2 linked regions of the Drosophila melanogaster genome follow. The protein of the gene in region 1 interacts with the protein of each later gene in a pairwise test. Each region holds a gene or a part of one and is shown on either strand. Other genes may lie near its edges.

What was found.
Region 2: the proteins of Lcp2 (region 1) and Glyp interact in a two-hybrid assay, tested with the Drosophila melanogaster proteins (one large-scale study listed by BioGRID).

What each region holds. Positions count from the first base shown.
Region 1 is NT_033778.4:8,433,129-8,436,835, reverse strand, and holds Lcp2 (larval cuticle protein 2), read left to right. Parts: upstream 1-2,050; 5' UTR 2,051-2,302; coding exon 2,303-2,314; intron 2,315-2,376; coding exon 2,377-2,745; 3' UTR 2,746-3,039; downstream 3,040-3,707. Other genes in the region: Lcp3 (larval cuticle protein 3), read right to left, coding at 953-1,279, 1,336-1,347. UniProt on the Drosophila melanogaster protein: Component of the larval cuticle.
Region 2 is NT_033779.5:2,128,909-2,136,865, forward strand, and holds the start of Glyp (glycogen phosphorylase), read left to right. Parts: upstream 1-1,904; 5' UTR 1,905-2,103; coding exon 2,104-2,346; intron 2,347-5,530; coding exon 5,531-6,059; intron 6,060-6,129; coding exon 6,130-7,736; intron 7,737-7,822; coding exon 7,823-7,957. Other genes in the region: CG4259 (uncharacterized protein), read right to left, coding at 1-162, 225-299.

The sequences.
Region 1 (3,707 bases):
GTTTGACATATACAATGTATACGATTCTTACTTATACAATCACTATTAAACACTTAAGTTACAATATCATAATATAATCAAAAATCCGAAAGCACAGCAATTTGATTGATATTTCTCCAAAAATCACTACAAGATCTTATAACCGTGTAACCTCAGGGAAGTCTGTGTTATTTTTTGTTACGTGTATGACTATTTAAAAAAGGTTAAAAAAAAGATGAAGAATTTGATTTTTACATCTAGGCTTATAATGCCAATTTCAGTTATATTCATAAAAAGACCAATATAAAAACAAAAATTCGACTCGGCTAGTGATAATGATGATGAATATACATACTTTTTAGGTTCGAAAACGCTTCATAATACCCTTAATACCCATAATACCGACATGCGTTCTAACAATTCAAGTGTACCCTTATCCTCTACAAATAATAGATATAAAAAAGTTCCTCGTCGTTTTCATCATACTGCGATCTTATCTGGGATGCATCAGGTTGGCAACATTTAATTACTTGTGGCTGCCTATGAACTTAACTTAAAATAATAACTAGTTATAACCCAGTTTTCGGAAATATGAAATTAATGCAAGGAGATATCGGCTTGTCCAGGTAAGATTTTTGTAATGTTTACATTTATTTTAGATGCTTTAAAGATTTTTGTATTTAAATTAATTTCGTACTATACTATAACAACACAATTGTAATTTAATGAAGGCCAAAGTGTCTTTGATTACTTTTAATCTTCTAATTGTACCTTCTTATACCATATAATACCGGGAGCCTTCTCTTAAATCGAACTGTCAGATTTGTAAAACATGCACTTGGTTTATATTGCAAGGTTTAATTTATTTTCGAATTCGATAACATTTTCCTTAAATTTAAAACAACTGGTAAGAAATTATCCAAACTCAACCTAGCTGTCTCCAATCTTTCATGTTCCTAGTCGGCGGGTTCACTTAGTTCTTGCTGGGGTTAGCCTCGATGTAGGCGATAGCCTTCAGGATGGCAGCTGGGATCGGAGGAGGAGTGGGCAGCAGGTCACTCTGGGGCTGGTATCCGTTCTCGTCAGCCTTGTAGCTCACTCGCACATGGACACCCTCGGGGGAGATCCACTCGAAGACTCCGTCGATGTTGCCGTGGATGTCTCCGGTGGCGGAGGAGGCAGATCCGTCGTCGAGGACCAACTTGCTGACAAAGCCATCGGGCTGGACATCGTTGACCAGCTCCTTGACCTCCACATTAGCGTTGGCGGCCACCAGGGCGGCGAGAGAACAGACAAGCAGCTAGGATAATCCAGGATTAGACTGCGAAGTCACTATGCTCCTCAAGGCATACTTACGATCTTGAACATTTTGATTTGGGTGGATTGTCGGACTAGAAATCTTCTAAGACTGATGACAATCTATGCTCAAATCGGTGTTTATATATCATCAAAAGCTGATGCAATGTGCGTATTATAATTAAGTCAATGTGATGCATATAATAAAAACCGTCTGGGATGCAAATTAGTCGACTTGAGATGGCTTAACCACTTTCATTAGGAGATGAGCATTCTTAGTTATTTATTCAACTGAAATATTCGCCCTAGTCTAACCGAAATGCAAAGCAAACCGGACCAGAAACCAGAATAATTATTAAGCAGTACAATATTTAATTTTCTAAAATTCAACTTCAATATGAACTAAACTTAAGCATAGCATAGTTTTCGGTGTTTCATTTGGTGTGTGGCACGTTGACAACTCTGGCCAAAAGCTTTGCGGGTTTTTTTAAATTAAACAGTGACATCCAAAATATTGAGATACAACAAAATGTCATAGGCAACTAGCACGTTAATATGCAGTATCACTTGCGAAATCGTTTATTCCGGTATATTGTTTATTACCACTTCGGAACCTTTTAAAATAGATGGGACTGCTATCAAGTGAAGTGTATTGGGTTTTTTGATTTTGTACAGGCATGATTGATAAAGACTTGGTCAACTCGAAACGTCATCGATGAGCACAGAATCCGAAAACCGTACTCCATCGCCCCTACAAAATTTCTACCGAAGCATGTTTCATTTCGGAATCTGTTCAGCAGCGCAAGACTTGTTTTTTGACATTTGTATCGCAGAGTCAAGTGGAGAATTTATGGGCCCTGCCTTTTGTTGGCATCATGGGCGTTTCGTGATAACTTAGATTTGGCCCAAAAAGTAATAAGCAATTCGTTTGGAAAGCAACCAAATTGGGAATCATATAAAAAGACTCTGTCGACCAAAGTCAGTTATCAGTCAACGTTCGTTCTCGACCAGACAGAAATCAGCCAACATGTTCAAGTTTGTGAGTGGCTCACAGGACATTTATGAACTCGCCATCTAATTGGTATCATTTCCTCTATCCAGGTGATGATTCTCGCCGTTGTGGGAGTGGCTACCGCCCTAGCCCCAGTTTCCCGCTCCGATGATGTACACGCTGATGTCCTTTCCCGATCGGACGACGTTCGTGCCGACGGATTCGACTCCAGCCTGCACACCTCAAACGGAATCGAGCAGGCCGCCAGCGGTGATGCCCATGGCAACATCCACGGCAACTTCGGCTGGATCTCACCCGAGGGCGAGCACGTTGAGGTAAAGTACGTCGCGAATGAAAACGGATACCAGCCCTCGGGAGCCTGGATCCCCACTCCTCCTCCAATCCCAGAGGCCATCGCCCGCGCCGTTGCCTGGCTGGAGTCTCACCCCCCAGCACCCGAGCACCCCCGTCATCACTAGGACTCGTCACCCGGATCCCGGACCACTCCACGGACTGTTCTCCCGAAACAAATCGCCCAAGTTGTTTAGCTGTACTTCTTGACTTTCAAAAAAATACATGCACTTGCTTATAGCAGTAAAAATGTGTGTGTTCTTCATTGCACTTTTTAGGTAGTTCCTGTAATAATACGAGCTTTTATACCTCTACCTTCGCTGGGAATGCTTCCTTCTACCTTTTATATTCGATTCACTAAATCCATTTATCAAAAATGAGTATATGTGTCCATAAAGAAAAGATGTGCTGAATTAAAAATTAATTTTGTCTTTTAAAATTTGAGAAGGATCTGGGCAGTCTAAAAGATCTGAAAAACAAAAAAGCAAATGTTTGCATACAATTTTATTCTCACTAAAAGTCTCAATGCATTTTTTTTTTATTTTAAGTAGTATTTAAAAGCCAATTAGAGAAGCCAATACCAATGGACAAACTTATTGAAATAGAAAAGCAATGGTCAATGCCACACGAGCCGATTACCCTAGTATATACTCGTAGTACTAATCCCGTGGATTGCCATGCGATGCTTTTTAATGGGTGTGGGGTATCTTCATAGTCAACCCAGATTTCAGAGCACCAATCGTATGAAAGATGTAGCGTATTGACTTGGGTTCAGTTTTGGTGGTTATCAGTCAACGTTCGTTCTCGAGCAAACAGAAATTGGAATCTAAAATGTTCATGCTCGTGAGTAACGGCAGGATACGAACGTATTCAATGTCTATGCTCTCGTTCACGTGGTGATCTGTGCAGTTTTTGGATTGAGTGGCTCATCCCCCATCCCCCATCCGTAGGACGTTTCGAAAGTGACAACGCCGATGTCCACTACCAATCATACGATGTTTATACCGATGGATTCGATTCCAGCAGTCTGCACATATTCAACGGAATCGAGCGGGCCGCCAAAGCAGATATCGATGGTATTTTTCAGGGC
Region 2 (7,957 bases), on another chromosome or scaffold:
CTTGGTTGTTCCATTCAGAATATGAGCGGCAGTAAGGACCACATTTGGATTAATCAGAGATCCCACTCCTATATAGCGAAACAGCCAATCCCTCTGGTCGAGCACAGAAACCACCCAGGGAAATGTCGCTCTGGGATTACTGCCATATGTTTCACGTCGTATCTGCATGCGTATTTCCATTTCAGTATTTTTTATATCTATGTACAAGTATTATATAAACTAACCTGATTGTAGTTAAAGTATTGACTATTCACAAGGCTGATTATCAGTGTCGTGAGAAACGCAAAGTATAGCGACATTCCGCAACGAGTGTTCGAATCAAAATGAAATCGAGTACTTAGAACTTACCCTGCGAACTCAGCACTCTGCTTATCAGTAAAATGCGTCGTTTTAAGAATTCCACAAAGTATTTTGAGATAAATCACTTGTATTATAAAAAATATTCGCAGCATTCGTTATATTATTTCACAACGATCCAAGCAAATGCAGTCTAATTTCTCTCAGCGAACTTTTCTTTCGCCTAAGTGTAACTTTTTCATAATACTCGCAGCTGAATACAAAAAATGAAAAGAAAACATAACAAAAACTAGTTGAATAGCGCATACATATGTGCGAGGAGTCAACAAGCGCACGGTTGGCAGAATGAGGCAGCAGATTCCAATTAAGTTTTAAATTTTTAGCAGACAAGCTTATGAATGATGGCGTTCACTTCGATGGCAGCCCACTTGGCAGATGTCCAAAAGGTTTGCTCTCACTTTCCTCCTGCCAAATGTGCTAATCATTTTCATTTGCTACGAAATAGCCGAACAAATGGTGAGCTCACGAAACAAGCGGCGCCTTGGTCCTTTGCAATGTTACCCCCCCCCTTTACCCTCCTTTCAAGGACTTTTCCGCATGCATTCCCAAGTAGTTGAACATGGGAGTGCCATTATGGGAAGTAATAAACAAGAAATGGAATAACTGAATTGTTCGGATAGAATTGCAGATGCCCTTTGTCCTGTGATTAGCATTTGTTGCACAAGTCGAGTGAGGCACAGCAGAGCACATATATTCAGTGCGCTTTCTAAATAGATCAATTCTGTGACAACATTTTTGAAAACGCTTGTTTTAGAATATCAGTACGTAAATCTTAAAGCTCAAGATACGAATGTACCCAAAGAGATATATAAAACACAAAATATCTGTAAGATACAAAAGCATCAGATTTTAAAAGTATCTCTTAGATACAAAAGTATCCATAAGATTGGTAAAGTTTGAATTCCTAGCAAGTTGGCATCTCCAATATCCAGCCCGCCACGATTCTCCGCACTCAACAGATGGTTAAAAGCTTCAATTTGACAGCCGTCGGTTCAAAAAGCTCAAACCCGATTCATGGGGGCGCCACCCGTTCTATTCCAAAGCATACAAATGCCTCAAGATGAAACAAAAACAGAAAATAAACAACAAATACGCATGTATGACCTTCGCACAAGGTGACTGGGGCAAAAAGAGAGCGCCAGTGAGAGAGAGGCAGTGAGCGAGCGAGAGCACAGGGAGCAGTGCAGGAATACAGCATAGCTAAAGTGCGAGAGAGACAGCAAAATGCACCGGCGAGATAAGAACCGCTGCATCAGCAACGCACAGTGGGCGATATGGTCAAAATATACTGATAAAAGTTATTATCTGTTATTGAAATATACAAAATTTTCATTCTTAAATGATTAATATAAAAATCGAAAATTTAATATTTAGTTGTATAGTTAAAAAACAACCTATATTGTTGTATTATATCCCCTAGATGATAATTCGTAGCAGTTGATACCCAGCGCACCCACTGTGCGCTGGGAGTTGTTTACAAGGGGAGCAGCACGCTGAGAGAAAAGCTCTGGCGCAAAAGCTATCTCCGAAAGTATGCCGAAAGTATAAAGTGAGAATCGCTCCGGATTTTGCTGCGAACGGTCGTCTGTTCAGGTTCAGGTCTGGGTTGTGTCTATAGTCTCCGTCTCCTCTTCGCTGTCGCACACGCAAACGGGTCTACGCCACACACACACGCGCACCCACGCAACGGAATCAGAGAACTATATAGAGCCGCCACAGAGAAGGGACATACATAACTAGGACACCATGTCGAAGCCCCAATCCGACGCCGATCGGCGCAAACAGATCTCGGTGCGCGGGATCGCCGAGGTGGGCAATGTCACCGAAGTGAAGAAGAACTTCAATCGCCACCTGCACTACACCCTGGTCAAGGATCGCAATGTGTCCACCCTGAGGGACTACTACTTCGCCCTGGCCAACACCGTCAAGGACAACATGGTGGGCCGCTGGATTCGCACGCAGCAGCACTACTACGAGAAGGATCCCAAGGTGAGTTCCGCGCCCATCCAGGCCACCCACTTATTGATTTAGTCCGTGGAATTTTCCAAAAAGAAGTGGTCGGACCACCTAACCTAACTTTATCCGGGCTCTGGAGTTCTTAGGCCTGATTATCCCTTCCTGCGGCAACCAAAACTTTTGAAATAATTTCCTTTGAAATATTTTTTCCTAAATTTCTTTGGCTATTACGACATTTTTTTCGGCCTGCTCCATTCTCTTTTATTCGCTGCTGATTTATTCCCCGATGCGCTTTGGCCAACGAATTTACAGTGAACACTCAGCCAAAAAAAAAACTAAAAATTAAATGGGAAACGATAAACGTATTCATAAATAACTGAAGCAGTTTTGCTTTTATCCCAAGTATTTCCACTATGTCTTTTATTATTATAAATGAATATTCCATGCAACATTTCATAATCCTATTTTAATCCTTATTTTCTAAAATTCTAAAAATTTCCGAATGCTCACTGTTTATTTGAAATTTCGGCTTTTACTGCATTTCCCACGCTTTCGTTGTTTTGCTACTACATAATTGTTTCGTTTCATTTAATTATTCGCGAAATTGCCAAAAAGCAAAGACTGCAATGGGATCAATGCCAAAGAAGTAGCGCCAAAAAAAGGTGTGACACTTTCACTGCAACAAATTGCAGAGGTGCTGCAAAAAGCCGGCGAATTTATCAGCCACCCCCTTTTTACGCGCCCACTTGACAATTTTCCCCGCCAGCTGACGAAGCAACAAAAGCTTAAAAATAGCTCTGCATTTAGCAGCTGTCGCCGAGCTACTATAGAAGTAGCTCTATCCAAACATATTGATGAGTTTTTAGTAATAAGTTTTCCTGGGGCCATGGCGATGCAGTTTAAGTAGGGCAAGGGTGCATAATAAGTGCCCCCTTTTAGCCACATCCATCAGATACACAATATATGTATATACATACATATGTACATGTATCCAAACACGTGCCCAAAGCGTGAGCTTTCCATTTGCAAATTTGTCAGCATCGGCTGCTAAACATTTTTGTCCTTGCTGAATGTCAGCTTAAATCACTTTCAATTTCAAGCCCACCAAAATGTATCTATTAATTTTCCATTGACTCGAGCAATTTTGGCGACTAGAAGTTCGAGCTATATACACTTTTGGGTGATAAATATTTTCAATTCAACTAAATTGTGGATACCGTCACGGCGTCGGCACACATTTTTTCAAGGTCAATCAAAGGTTATTAACAACAACCAACTGACAAAAATATCAAGGAAAATTTCCCCCATTTTTCCTCTCTCATTTTTATTTTGGCTACCATTTCGGTTTTTGTTCGTTCTCAAATATATATATATGTACGTATGTATATATAAGTTCTTTCAGGTTGTGGAACTTTTATAGGCCCGATTTTGTTTAGTTGTCCCCCCACATGCAATTAGCTCACGCAACCATCTAAATAGAAATATATGAACTGACGACGATTGTATCTTATGGATACTTAAACAGCTGTTGTTGTGCGTGGATTGGTACTTAGAGTTAATTGAAGACAACTTGGCGTCCATCGGTCTCTAAACCAATTTATGCAAATTGAAGAAAGTTCAGCGGGGTGAATAGTCACACAAAAGAGTTTATTTCCCTGTAGTTTTCCACAAGCAGTTCGAAAATACTGTTCCACTTATCACCAAATTAAAAGCGTTTAGCTATCACCGATCATGTAAAAATTCAATGCCAGGGCGCCACTACCTATTGCATTTCCAACTTCCTATGCACATCTGTCATTTATTTATTGCATATAGGGAAAAAAAACCAATAAACAAAGGCAAACAAACACTGGTCGTTTGTTGGTGAGGCGCTCTTTATCAAAACCGCAAAAAACATATGTCTGGCATCTAATTCGTCTGTAGAACTGGCCAGAACGAATATCAAAGACCCTACACAACAAACTGCTGTGGAAAACATTAGCGCCGGCAGTTGAATGACTCCAAAAGCTTTTTATGGATCTGGAAGATTACTCACGTTTTGTTGTGAAGCTCTTATCTTCGATTAGATAAGCTAAATAGGTTATTAGCTTCTTTTTTTTTCTGCAGCAAAGAAGATCATGCTTAGAATTGGTTTTAATATTTGGATTTTTTCCAACTCAGTATTTACTGAGTGCACCTCATATTTCATAACTAAGAAAATACCTACTTTTATAGTTCATATTTTGGTATACCTATATAGATATAAACAATAATGTGTTTTATCACAGCATTTCCATTGCCCAGCACATATTGCCCGAATCAGTTCATACTCCATGTTCACCTAATTCTGTATATCTTATCTGCTAAATGGACTGCAAAATATTCCTAATCGAAAGTCCCCGATTCTATATAGGCGCCTTAACCCCTTTCACCTACAAATATGCACACAAAAACAAGCTCTCCAAACATTCCGAACTAATTAGCTATAGTTTTTTTCCCGGATCGCATAGCATCAGACATCTGAAAGCATCATGTGCGATAGGTATGCGTTTTAGGGCATAGATTACATAGGTAGGTTGACTGATAAGGGATAGGATTAGCATACCCTGGGAGCCATTAGCTACTGACTGGCGACACTGTGGGCGATGTTGTCGTCAATGCTGATTGGTGATTGCTGATCCGTGATCGATCCATGATTAGCCCAGCATTGGCTGGTGATAATAATCGCCATTCCAAGCTGTATAGATTCATGCTTAGCCATGATGTTTGCCCAGCATGCAAAGTGCAGCCTGCAATCGCTTGATAGCGTTGCTATAAACCCAATTAATGCCCTCGTAACATCGATCGATAGATTCGCACTGAATCGAACCGGTGATAGTGAATGCCTTCCTCTATTTATAGTTTCCAGTTGGGTTGCCCTGAAATTACCGTGCGATTTTTCGCTGATAAGCGAGTATTCCGTTGGGAACCGTAAAAGTTGGAAACTGGTTGACCTTCTGGCCAAACATAACTAGGTCTTTCAGCCGCAGTCGGCGCCCCTCTTATCAGGCTTTCGTTGTATTATAGTTATTGTATGCACTGTACAGCTGAACCTGGTGTGAGTGACCCATGCACTGCGGAAATGCACGAAATCTGAATCCAACTCATGAAATAATCTTATGACATTTCGATCTTCCAATATAGTTGCTAATTAATCATGGATACAATAGATCTAATAACGACCCCTGTATTTTTTTAGCGCGTCTACTATCTGTCGCTGGAGTACTACATGGGTCGCTCACTGACCAACACCATGATCAACCTGGGAATCCAGAGCGAGTGCGAGGAGGCCATGTACCAGTTGGGTCTGGATATCGAGAACCTGGAGGAGATGGAGGAGGACGCCGGTCTGGGCAATGGTGGTCTGGGTCGTTTGGCCGCCTGTTTCCTCGACTCGATGGCCACTCTGGGTCTGGCCGCCTATGGCTATGGCATCCGTTATGAGTACGGTATCTTCGCCCAGAAGATCAAGAACGGCGAGCAGGTGGAGGAGCCCGATGATTGGCTGCGTTATGGCAATCCCTGGGAGAAGGCTCGTCCGGAGTTCATGCTGCCGGTCAACTTCTACGGCCGTGTGATCGACACGCCCGAGGGCAAGAAGTGGGTGGACACCCAAAGGGTGTTTGCCATGCCCTACGACAACCCCATTCCCGGATACAACAACAACCACGTAAACACGCTGCGTCTGTGGTCCGCCAAGTCGCCCATCGACTTCAACCTCAAGTTCTGTAAGTATCTATAAGGAGAGGTCCCCTTGATAAGGCAAGAACTAACCTATGGCTATCTTCACCTATCCAGTCAACGATGGTGACTACATCCAGGCCGTGCTGGACCGCAATCTGGCTGAGAACATCTCACGTGTCCTGTACCCCAACGACAACTTCTTCGAGGGCAAGGAGCTGCGTCTGAAGCAGGAATACTTCATGTGCGCCGCCACGCTGCAGGATATCATCCGCCGCTACAAGGCCTCGAAGTTCGGATCCCGGGAGGCGGTCCGCAACACCTTCGATCACTTCCCCGACAAGGTGGCCATTCAGCTGAACGATACCCATCCATCGCTGGCCATCCCTGAGCTGATGCGCATCCTGGTCGATGAGGAGCATCTGACCTGGGAGAAGGCATGGGACATCACCGTCAGGAGTTGCGCGTACACCAACCACACCGTGCTCCCAGAGGCCCTGGAGCGCTGGCCCGTCTCCCTGCTGGAGTCGATCCTGCCCCGCCATCTGCAAATCATCTATCACATCAACTTCCTGCACATGGAGAATGTGAAGAAGAAGTTCCCCGACGATTTGGACCGCATGCGCCGCATGTCGATGGTGGAGGAGGATGGCGAGAAGCGCATCAACATGGCTCATCTGTCCATCGTCGGCTCCCACGCCGTCAACGGTGTGGCCGCCATCCACTCGCAGATCCTAAAGGACTCGCTGTTCCATGACTTCTACGAAATGGAGCCCCAGAAGTTCCAGAACAAGACGAACGGTATTACCCCGCGTCGTTGGTTGCTGCTCTGCAATCCCGGACTCTCCGACCTGATCGCCGAGAAGATCGGCGACGAGTGGCCAGTGCATCTGGACCAACTGGTTGCTCTGAAGAAGTGGGCAAAGGACCCCAACTTCCAGCGCAATGTAGCCCGCGTCAAGCAGGAGAACAAGCTGAAGCTGGCCGCCATTCTGGAGAAGGACTACGGCGTTAAGATCAACCCCTCTTCCATGTTCGACATTCAGGTGAAACGTATTCACGAGTACAAGCGCCAGCTGCTGAACTGCCTGCACATCATCACCCTGTACAACAGGATCAAGAAGGATCCCACAGCCAACTTCACCCCGAGGACAATCATGATCGGAGGCAAGGCTGCTCCGGGCTACTATGTGGCCAAGCAGATCATCAAGCTCATCTGCGCCGTGGGCAACGTTGTGAACAACGATCCCATTGTGGGCGATAAGCTCAAGGTTATCTTCCTGGAGAACTACCGTGTCACCCTGGCCGAGAAGATTATGCCCGCCGCCGATCTGTCCGAGCAGATCTCGACCGCCGGCACAGAGGCCTCTGGTACCGGCAACATGAAGTTCCAGCTTAACGGCGCCCTCACCATCGGCACCCTGGACGGTGCCAACGTTGAGATGGCCGAGGAGATGGGTCTGGACAACATCTTTATCTTCGGCATGACCGTCGACGAGGTGGAGGCGCTCAAGAAGAAGGGCTACAATGCCTACGACTACTACAACGCCAACCCCGAGGTCAAGCAGGTGATTGACCAAATCCAGGGCGGATTCTTCAGCCCCGGCAATCCCAACGAGTTCAAGAACATTGCCGACATTCTGCTTAAGTACGACCACTACTACTTGCTGGCCGACTACGATGCGTACATCAAGGCCCAGGATCTGGTCTCCAAGACCTACCAGGTGAGATTCGATAGCTTAACTATGTATTAGAAAAATAAGTAGCAAAGATCATTATTTAAACCACGATACTTTTGCCTAATTTGCAGAACCAAGCCAAGTGGCTGGAGATGTCCATCAACAACATTGCGTCCAGCGGCAAATTCTCGTCGGATCGCACCATCGCCGAGTACGCCCGCGAGATTTGGGGAGTGGAGCCCACCTGGGAGAAGCTGCCAGCGCCG